2 linked regions of the Neodiprion lecontei genome follow. The protein of the gene in region 2 binds, or shares a complex with, the protein of the main gene of each other region. Links are inferred from orthologs where the notes say so. Each region holds a gene or a part of one and is shown on either strand. Other genes may lie near its edges.

Evidence for each region.
Region 1: general transcription factor IIF subunit 1 (region 2) and DNA-directed RNA polymerases I, II, and III subunit RPABC3 share a complex: the UniProt entries of both Homo sapiens proteins name them as parts of the TBP-based Pol II pre-initiation complex. The link is inferred for Neodiprion lecontei from reciprocal best matches to the Homo sapiens genes GTF2F1 and POLR2H.

The regions. Positions count from the first base shown.
Region 1 is NC_060266.1:1,952,394-1,957,415, forward strand, and holds the start of DNA-directed RNA polymerases I, II, and III subunit RPABC3, read right to left. Parts: upstream 3,272-5,022; 5' UTR 3,257-3,271; coding exon 3,178-3,256; intron 1,251-3,177; coding exon 1,167-1,250; intron 379-1,166; exon of another isoform or gene 1-378. Other genes in the region: protein UBASH3A homolog, read left to right, coding at 3,377-3,517, 4,718-4,923. UniProt on the Homo sapiens protein: DNA-dependent RNA polymerase catalyzes the transcription of DNA into RNA using the four ribonucleoside triphosphates as substrates.
Region 2 is NC_060261.1:26,083,571-26,088,718, reverse strand, and holds the start of general transcription factor IIF subunit 1, read left to right. Parts: upstream 1-1,899; 5' UTR 1,900-2,026; coding exon 2,027-2,050; intron 2,051-2,064; exon of another isoform or gene 2,065-2,167; coding exon of another isoform or gene 2,168-2,170; intron 2,171-2,216; exon of another isoform or gene 2,217-2,334; intron 2,335-3,000; coding exon 3,001-3,047; intron 3,048-3,301; coding exon 3,302-3,673; intron 3,674-4,168; coding exon 4,169-4,497; intron 4,498-4,964; coding exon 4,965-5,148. UniProt on the Homo sapiens protein: TFIIF is a general transcription initiation factor that binds to RNA polymerase II and helps to recruit it to the initiation complex in collaboration with TFIIB. It promotes transcription elongation.

The sequences.
Region 1 (5,022 bases), on a different chromosome or scaffold from region 2:
GAGGAAGAATCGGGGCGGGAGGAGAGGCTTGGGGGGGTGGGAGAGGAGGGATTGCGTCATGCCGCGCAAGCCTCGCAGCCCGCACGTCAATACAGCACGCAGGCCTGCCGGCCAAGCCTGCCTCGCTCGGCTTCACCATCGTCGGACGGCCTAGCCCACCATGGCTGCTACTACTGATGTACCACCACCACCACCACCACTGTAGTTTACACTGGCTGCCTCAGGTATCTCACGATCAGTGATACTTGTGTACGTACGTACGTGGGTACGGTCAATACGACGATGAAGATGAAGATGATGACGATGACGAAGGGAGGGTGTAATTGGTTGCCTGACAATTAATATTGGAATCGGAATTCCCCGAGATCATTGATTGTTGTAAGATTTTTGCAAAATTGTCGGCGTGAACGAGGATGATGTTGGTAACGTTAAGGTGAACGATTCATGTTCGGGGAAAATCAACGCTTCGCAATTTTAGGATTTTTTGAAATTTATTAAACCGTGATGAGGGGGGAAAAAACAGAAATCAAACATACTCGTATATTTCGAGAAGTCAACTTCTTGAACGTCATTCAGAAATTACAGGGTAATGATTTTTTTTTTTTTTCTTCACTGACGGTTTCTTGAAGTCAACGTTACTAACTTCAGTCTCGTTGGTGCGGACAGTTCTTTCTCTCTCTATCTACATGTATACCACTTGAACAGGCATTTCTCTGTACCTATCTATGCAAGTGCGCAATTGTTGAAGGTGGTGAGATAAAAAATATCGACGGTAAAACGAAATGATGAGAAAATAACAGTGAAACGATTTATTAAACTGGAACGCAATTTCACCCCTTTTGTCGGAACGATGATGATGATGATAAAGTTAAACTGCCGACGAAGAAATGGATACCCTTTAACGTCGGACAGATGAGAAAATTTCTATTGTACGTTAGGTTTGTATTTTGCAATAAAACAAAAAGCAGAAGAGAATGAGGAAGAAAAAAGAGGGTTGATGAGTCGTGGCTGCACAGGATTACAGTACGCGTTGCGTAATATCAGCGTCGTTATATGAGATCAAGAAGAAGCGGTTCTTTATTGGATTCGATTGAATGAAAATTGAATTATGCTACAGGCGAACTACACGCAGCACACATTCGGCAACATTCACAGATCCTACTCACCCAATTCCATCGGGTACAGCCAACTGTTGATGTCCAGTATAAGGTCCATCTTGAAGGACTCGGATTCGCAATGCAGCCTGGTAACTGAAACGAGAAAAACATAGTTGTACGATATGAGAATTCGAGTAGTGAAATGAAACAGGTTACACAGTGAGCGTAAATCGAAGGGTATTATAACAGGGTAGAATTATCTAGATCCTTTATTTCCGTCTCGTCGATAACTCGATGCGCAAACCGAAAAGTGCGGAACAACGAAGGGCGAGAAAAACCGACTCGACTTGTGCCGTAATTGATCTTCTACTGCTTGGAAAACGACGAAGAAGATGTAAGAAGATGAAGAACCTTGGTGTAGGTGTGTACTGTAGGTGGCGCTGCCCTTGACAGCTGTGACGCAACGGTTCGACCCCCACCACCAACCCCAGAAGACAACAAACGGGGTTGTGATACCCCAACTTGAAACTATGAGCGCCGCCGTCTCGTCAGGATAAAGAAGAAGAGATAGAATCCTGGATAGGGAAACGGAAGGGATAAAAAGTAGGGATAGTGTTACGAGAGAAAAATTAAACATCCCTCGGCGTTTCCTCACCCCCGACTGGCAACCTTCTGTAACGTTTTTCTTCATTTCTTTTCACCTCTCATCGATCTCTTCCACCAGCTACCGGGCAAGACGCAATAGCGGCGAAAAACGTTGGAAGGAAGAATGAACCGTACCGCGAGATAGAAAAATACTCTGGAAGCGGGTTGAAAGATGTTGAAAACCGAATGCGGATCTCGTAATTATAAATCGAATTAACGGTAAGAAACGGGCAGACTGGTCCGTTGATTTTTTTTTTTTCAGACGATGTCAAAATATCAGAAAAATGAATCGACGAATGAACGAACTCTTCGATTCATGTTCACAAGATTGTTCCCGAAAAAAATGAAGTGTTGGAATTGAAATCGATCTTCATTATTTTCTTCGCATTTTTATCCTTCTTATCGTGATATGGACAGATGATGGTCTGAAAACACTAAAGTCAAGGAGGAGGATTACAGCTGTCATGAGGCCTGTGAAACGAGTGTATAAAACTAACCTAACCTAACTTTACAAATTCAAACGAAAGAATTCGAGGCAGCCAAATCCAACAAAGAATCAAAGAAAAAAAGAAACGTGTATAATCGAACAGAGAAGAAAGAACGTTTCGATCGATTGCGACATCCAGGTAGTTGGGCACCTAGATACAGATGTCGTATCGGATCGGATCCGGGATCAAGCTGCGCCAGCTGGTACCGCGACACAACAGGGACAGAAATGACAGATCGATACAAGCGAGTAGTGGCGATAATCAAAAATCGCATGCCATGAGTACCCGAGGGTGCAATTTAATTTTGTTACAGTCACGTTCGTACGTCAAGTAAAAATCATTCTTCGTCAATTATCGAGATCAGAACCGGCGCAGTCCGCACTGAAAAATTAGTCCGAGGTATAAAAGTCGCGCGTAATCGATCCTCGGGTCCATCTTCTAGCTGAAAAAATTCACTATCCAGCCAAGCTGCGCGAGTGTAGAGATCAACGAGACTCGAAACACTTCGTTGGCATGATATTGTTGAACAAGTACCGTAACTAACAAACCAAAAGAAGAAAAAAAAAGCTCCAGAGTTCGACATGAAACGCGTACGGTGTGACATTGGTTTGATATGTTCATCGTAATTTCTCTGTCTTTCGTTTCGTTTCGATTTTGGTAGGATGTATTGGAACGATATGCATGAAGTGATATAGAGAGAGAATATCTTCTCCCCATCCATCTATAATCTATATCCCTGCCTCCCTGCCTGTCCCTGAAAAATTGGAAACCCTACCCCGTATCGAAGTTTGTGCCCCAGAGAGCCGCTAGCGAGGAAGAAGATCAGTCTGAATCGCGTCAAGTTGCATCCCTTATTTACAGTCTAGTACATATGTACACAGCGTATGTACCTAGCGGCCTGCACGGTTACCGTCGTACGTAACATAACATAACGTAACATGACTGACATAACCAACTCTCCTCCTCTCCGAACGTCGCACTACCACTCCGATGAGAGACTGTTTCGAAACTGTTCGCAGGGTTCATCCCTGTCCCTGACGAGCCCTGCTTTCCTGCGCCACGCCACCTCCCCCATCGTCAACCCCTGTGCCCTCGCACCCCGTTTCCACCTGACCCGCGGTGTGCAGCGAGGGAGGTGGAGGAGAGATGAGGAGGAATCGACCGACGAAAGGGGGGGGTGGGGGGGAGGGAGAGGAGTATAATGTAAGTGACGTACACCCCGTACACCCCCTACATCCCTCTTTTTTCATCAGCATCGTTTTGCAGTGCATCGGAATCTCCTGGAAGGTACGTTCAATGATTCCGAAAAATCGTTATCCCATCATTTGCAGCATACCGGTATACTATCATCTTCAATTCGGAGGAGAAGTTACGCCCGGGCGAGAAGTTACGCAGAGTAATGGATTGCATTTCTTACATTTCACATCTGGCAGCGTACGGGGTAGAGTTTTGTTATTCGTTTCTTATACATGCGACAATTCTCGTTGCTGGATGTTTTCGTAAGGCTGATATTTTTACTTCGTTTTCCGCGACGTGAATCACCGCTGCATCGGACACGTTTATTCATTTATACACATGAGCTTGGGTATATCCTACAAGCGGCTGTGCACGCAATATTCTAAGCTTCGCGATATATATAATATATATATGTATATATTTTTACATAAAAATACTTCATCTTTTTTCTTCGTGTGGGCAAACGCCTTGAAGCATTTCACAGAATCGTTCATGCACGCGGTTGCCTTTTCATACCGACATGTATAACGCGTGTATGTACAATATAAGCGGTTAAGTCGCGTTGTTGATTTCGCTGACCACAAATCGCTAAGGAATATATTCATGATGCATCGACAATAATACAACCAAGTTACGACCGTCGCGGACATGTGGTACGATCCTTTTTCGAACGTCTTAATCTCGATTGACGTGAAGTTGATTTACACCAGCCGATCAACTCGTGTCAAAACTCATAAATTTTATTCTTATTTAGTGAACAATATAAAGCATTAATCATTCCGCGAAGTTGTAACTACACGCTGCACCATCGCATGTTATTATTGTAAAAGCGGTATGTTTACTCTACGATAATCGACAAACGTAAACGTCTTAGGCGCTAATGAAAAAACCTCGACATTCATAAAGCATCGCTTTGAAATCTTCATCCATTTTCAGTCTTTACCCATATTTGACAATTAACCTGCAGGTAAAATCGATGCTAGGATTATTCAAGGTCACCGATCATTTTCCTCGTCCGAAATCCCTGTCGTCATTCTCGTACGTTATAAGTCCATGATGTTCAGTGAAAAAATCCGTAACAAGTCCGACGATATTTCCAGGACATTTTCGGCTTATCGAAGGACATTAAATATAGAATAATTCCAGGACACATGAAAAATTCAAGGACAGTTTCAAGGACTTTTGAACGAGAAGTCAAATTCAAGAAAATTTTCAGGTTTTTCAAGGGCATTAAAAATAGAACGTTTCCAGGACACGAGAAAAATTCAAGGGCAGTTTCAAGTACTTTTCAAGGACAAGTCAAATTCAAGGACGTTTCCAGGACCACCGGACGCGATGTATACCGACGCACTACTCTCGTGTATGAATATTCTGACCGCATCAGGTCCTGCAACCACCTCTGCAGAAACAAAACCACCACCAAGTTGTCCTGCGAGCACTGCTACATCCGGCACCAGGTAATGTGAAATAGAAACATCATCCTTTACCCCGTCATATGGTGTTCGGTACACGTTGCCTGTGACATTGGGTCTTTGGCATCTTACTCTTACTTGGGC
Region 2 (5,148 bases):
AGATGTCGTGCCCTAATTAGAATTCCTAGAAAAGAGGGGAGGTGCGCAAAGGTGACCAAAAAACTAGAGAGGGGGATCGTTCTGCGCAACGATCGACCCCTATAAAAAGGGCGACCGATCACTCGATCGCTCTCTCGGTTTCTACCTCCAGATTCGTGATCTAGTTCCGGTACAGTCTCGCGGTAAAATCCTTTAGCCTTTTGCATTAAAACTTTCATACAACGTTACTCTGCCCAAAAGTTCAGCGAGCTTCAACTCCATTTTGTCATACTAAGTTTAAGATCTTACACTGTGTAACTCTGCGTTTGTGACTTCTAAATATCAAACTTATAAAATAAACCAAGTTAGTCAAAGTATCCAAATATTAAAGTCAGTTATTCCGCTAAAACCTCTCACCAATCTACAAGTCATCGCATCCAGAATACTCTCAAAAAGGTAAGCCAAATTAAATCTTTTATCCAACAATTTCTCCCTCTTCGGTTCGTTCGACTAGAGCGACAGAATGCCCGTTGTCGGGTGTATTTCAATACTTAATCGGTAATTGGTGACCCAAACTACTGATGTGAGCCTAGCTGTAGCTGCGTGTGAATGTTTCCGGTGTCTAACATCTGGAGATTTCCACTAGGTACTGTTCCGACGTCACACTCACCACTGTTCGTATACTAAAAAATTGTACGCGTCTTGTCCCCGTTTTTTAGGTCCTCTACGTGGCGCTAGTAGACTTCTCAAACGCTCGCTGCCCTCGCTGACCGCGCGCAAGCTCGTCAGGTAACTACTAGCGTCACTAGTGGTGGAAATTGGCCGCAGAATCAAGGGACATTTTGCGAACCACTTTTAGCAGCGTGTGTCAGGGGGCTGTCATAGACTTATAAAGATAGACTGAGCGCTCCTATATGAGGTACTGAAGCCTTCATATAAAGGATAGAGATATGTCGGGAGTACTACTCTCTCTTTTCAATCGGTTTCATACCGGGAGACAAGGGCGTAGTGGAAGTGGAACAGCTATAGATATAGGCGCATAATTTCGCTTCATTCTCCTCTACCGCCTCGATCCCCGCCACAAATATCGTCAGAGAGAGAAAGGAGTACTCCCGGTATATTTCTGTCCTTTAAATTTTTGCTTCAAGCGACTCATAAGAGCGCTCAGTCTATCTTTTATAAGTCTATGGTGTCAATCCAATAAATCATTATCCCCGCGGTATTCTAGGGTTAGATTCGACGGTCATGGGTTAAGTTATGTTCATTGAGATTCAGTTTGTTTCGCGCTCGGCCCACTATGGCGTTGTAGGTTTTTCTGTGTTGCCAGCATAACTTTTTGGTGTCAAAAATTAGCTGTCTCAGATTCATTGTCCGCAAGTTTACAATAACATAGAAATTATCATTATTGGTCGGGTCTAACGGAACAGGCCAATGAAATTAATGAGCTTAGCTTAACGCTGAACTTCCAAAAGCGTGGTAAGTGCTTATGACGTCACGAAATGTATATTCACAAGAGAAGACAACGGCACCTTAACCCTTAATATTTCCTTTTTCCGGTTTAATCCGAAAAGCGCAATTGAATGTCCACGATCCATTGCATTTTGATGCTTAATTGGTACATGATCACCCAGAAGTCAGAATTATTGACTGTGCGTCTAGCTGTACATACTTGCGCGTTTGAATCTAGTGTCTAGCATCTGGAAATCGTCGTGGAGTGCCATGACGTCGTAGTAAGGCTTAGAGCATATAATTTTCAAAACATGGTCAAAGTCTGGATGCAAATAAGGGTACATAAAATAACCGACGCAGCACTGATTGATACCAAGTTGAGTGATGAAATTGAATGTTTAGTTACACAGTTACACTCATTGTATCTTAAATTATAGTCAGTTGGGCAACTTATGTTTCACAGCGCCACCACTAATTGCAGCCAAAATCGGCTCACTTCTTGTAACTCCAGGATATCCCTCCTTCTGTACGCTCTGTAGTGGAATGACTTGACTATGCGGTCTGGTAATCACTTATTTCACGATCTTACTAATCAACAATGAGTTCAACAGCTGTGACGAAGGTATTCATTACCATTACAATCTTTACGCAACATTAATTTGAAATCACAATAAGTTTTTCTTAGAATTACTATCGTATGAATTTCAGTACCCAATGTACTAATATTGTAAGATAATATATGGTATGCATAACCACTGCAATATATTTAGCGATATTTGGTACAGTTATACTGAAATGTAAGGCTAATGGAATGTTGTTCGCGCTAGAAGTAATTCGACAACAGAATTTCGTAATTGTATAATAATATTTAGAATTTCGTAAGTTACTCCACAATTATAATTATAGGTATGTAGTCATGGTAATCATATACTTCATATGTTTGGTTTTGTACTGATTGCCATATACAGACCCTTAGATTAATTCTGAAACATTTCAGTCCACTGTTGAAATGGATTCGAGTTATTTTTCATGACAGTTATTACAAGCCGTGCGTTCATTTTTCCCAGTGTCTGGCTTCGCAGCTGTAGTCATCCCGACATCTCCCTTCTGATACATTTGATTTTAGAAATATATTAATTCTTTAAAATTACTTTCCGTAATATCACCTCAGGGATGTATTCCCATGGAGGAATAAGTTCCTGTTTTATTTTGTATTCTATTCATTGTCGCATTGCAACTCCTTGCCTATTAATTCTGCCTTATTTATTTACCCCGTCTTGTTTATTTTCTTTGCGTTCATGAGCCGTATTTTGTCTCTATGAAGCGGCACAGTCTTATAGCCTGCATCGCGGTTCTTGCATGTATGTAGGTGAAAAAATGTGCATTAGAGTTTGTTTTGCACGTTAAACAAGTAATAATAGTCTACCTTGGTGGCCTGGAATGTGTTTGAATCAATCCAAGGATCAGTACATATACCATAAATTTAAAAAATGTTGGATTTATGAATTTTAATTTTGTAATATGTGCAGTACTTGATCATTTTACTAATACTCTTTGATCCTTCGTGTCCAGCCTGGCGCAGTACCTTCGGTACAAGAATATAGCATCAGAGTTCCAAAGTAAGTCTATTGTTTCCTTTACTAAGTTTGCCTGAGTGACATTAATTATACTCTAATTTTGACTTCAGTCTGTGACTGATTTTACATTATCAAATTTAGAATAAACGAATACTTAATGTTCCAATATTGTGAACTTTGTGTTACACAATTTTGTACCTTACATTTTGCTACATTAGAAGTATGTACCCCATACCATCATGAAAGATCCTATTACAGATTTGTATTAATCAGTATTTCGATCCTTTTTGCCACAGGAACAGTAAAAAAAAGCACAATGTCATGCGATTTAATGCAACACTCAATGTTGACTTTTCAAAATGGTCGCAAGTCAAGATGGAGCGTGAAAATAACATGAAAGAGTATAAAGGAATGGATGAGGAGATGCCAAAGTTTGGAGCAGGATCCGAGTTTGGTCGCGACGCAAGAGAAGAAGCAAGGCGAAAAAAGTTTGGAATAACAAGTAGAAAATACAAACCAGAAGATCAGCCTTGGATTCTTAAATCAGGAGGTAAAACAGGGAAGAAGTTCAAAGGAATTCGAGAAGGTGGAGTCAGTGAGAATGCAGCATACTATGTTTTCACTCATGCACCCGATGGTGCCATTGAAGCATTTCCTTTGCATGAATGGTAAGTTCACAAAGTACATAAATTCGTAAAAAAATTGATAGCTTATTCTTAGTTTTTCAGTGAAATTTTCAACCTACTGTATAAAAAATTTAGACCTTAGAGACTAAACAAAAGCATTTTCACTCAAGCTAGCAGCTAGTGTTTAGCAATATCGTTACAAGAGAGTGTCTCAATAACATTATCAATGCAAGAGGTATTTTTCTTCTATGAAGATTATTTCTAAGGAAATTAATAATGGTTGTTAACGACACAAATTATCAGCTATTTGCTGTCTCTGATACCATCAACATTATTTCGGTGTCCTTACTATATGTAACTAGTGAATAAATATTCTCGATTATAAATATTACGTTTACCATGATAGACGTTAAAAACTTGGTAATTGTGCATATGGTATTAGTTGCAGAAGCACTAAACTAGGTGAAAAAAATTTTTACTGTTACATCTCAATTTTTGTTCAATTTCGTGAGAAAAATTAGTTCATTCAAATTATAGGTATAATTTCCAGCCAATACAAAGATATAAAGCTTTGAGTGCTGAAGAAGCTGAGCAAGAGTTTAGTAGGCGGAATAGAGTCATGAATTACTTTTCATTAATGATGCGAAAGAGAATGCGAAACGACGACGAAGGCGCCGAAGATGATCCAGAATTATCTGAAGGTGGTAAAGGAAAAAAACTTGGTAAAAAAGAAAAGGAATTAAAAATATCAGAAATGGATGAATGGATGGATAGTGACGATGATGATTCGAGTTCTGACGAAGACAAGGAGAAAAAGAATTCTGAAGAAGAAGAGGATGATAAAAAAAAGAAAAAAAAAGCTAAGGGTTAGTTTACTTACATTTGATAGTTCTTCATTGATACGTTGACTGAAGAATTACAGAGAACTGCAAATTTTGGAAGGAGCTGCGTGATAAGTTTTGGGCCTGAGCAGGCAGGCGTGAAAGTAATTCTACAACTTGTTATATGAGATGATTATGTAAATTCAGTTTCAAATAGCAGAATATTGCAATATTACTCATGAATTTCAACTTCTCCAGCCAACATACTTGATTCATAGATCTCATAAAAGACTTTGTTTTTCTTCAGACAACTACTCATTTAGGTGAGATGCAATAACTCTTGCATAATCGTGCTAATAGATTACTTTATGTACTTTATTCAGAAGTAGACTTCGAGTTTTAATTACTACACTGTTTCAACATTAATCTTTTCTTTCACTGGCTTGAACGCAATTACAGATGATGTTGGTATGGTCAATTGAATTTGGAGTGAACCATACTTTTTGTTGTAGAGGAAGCACAAAAAAAGAAGAAAAAGAAGAAGAAGGGGTCGGATGACGAAGCATTTGAAGAAAGTGACGATGGAGATGAAGAGGGGAGAGAGTGTGATTATATATCTGACTCTTCAGATTCTGAATCAGAATTGGAACAACAAAAGGAAATAAAATCTGTGGCTGAAGAAGATGCTCTACGAAA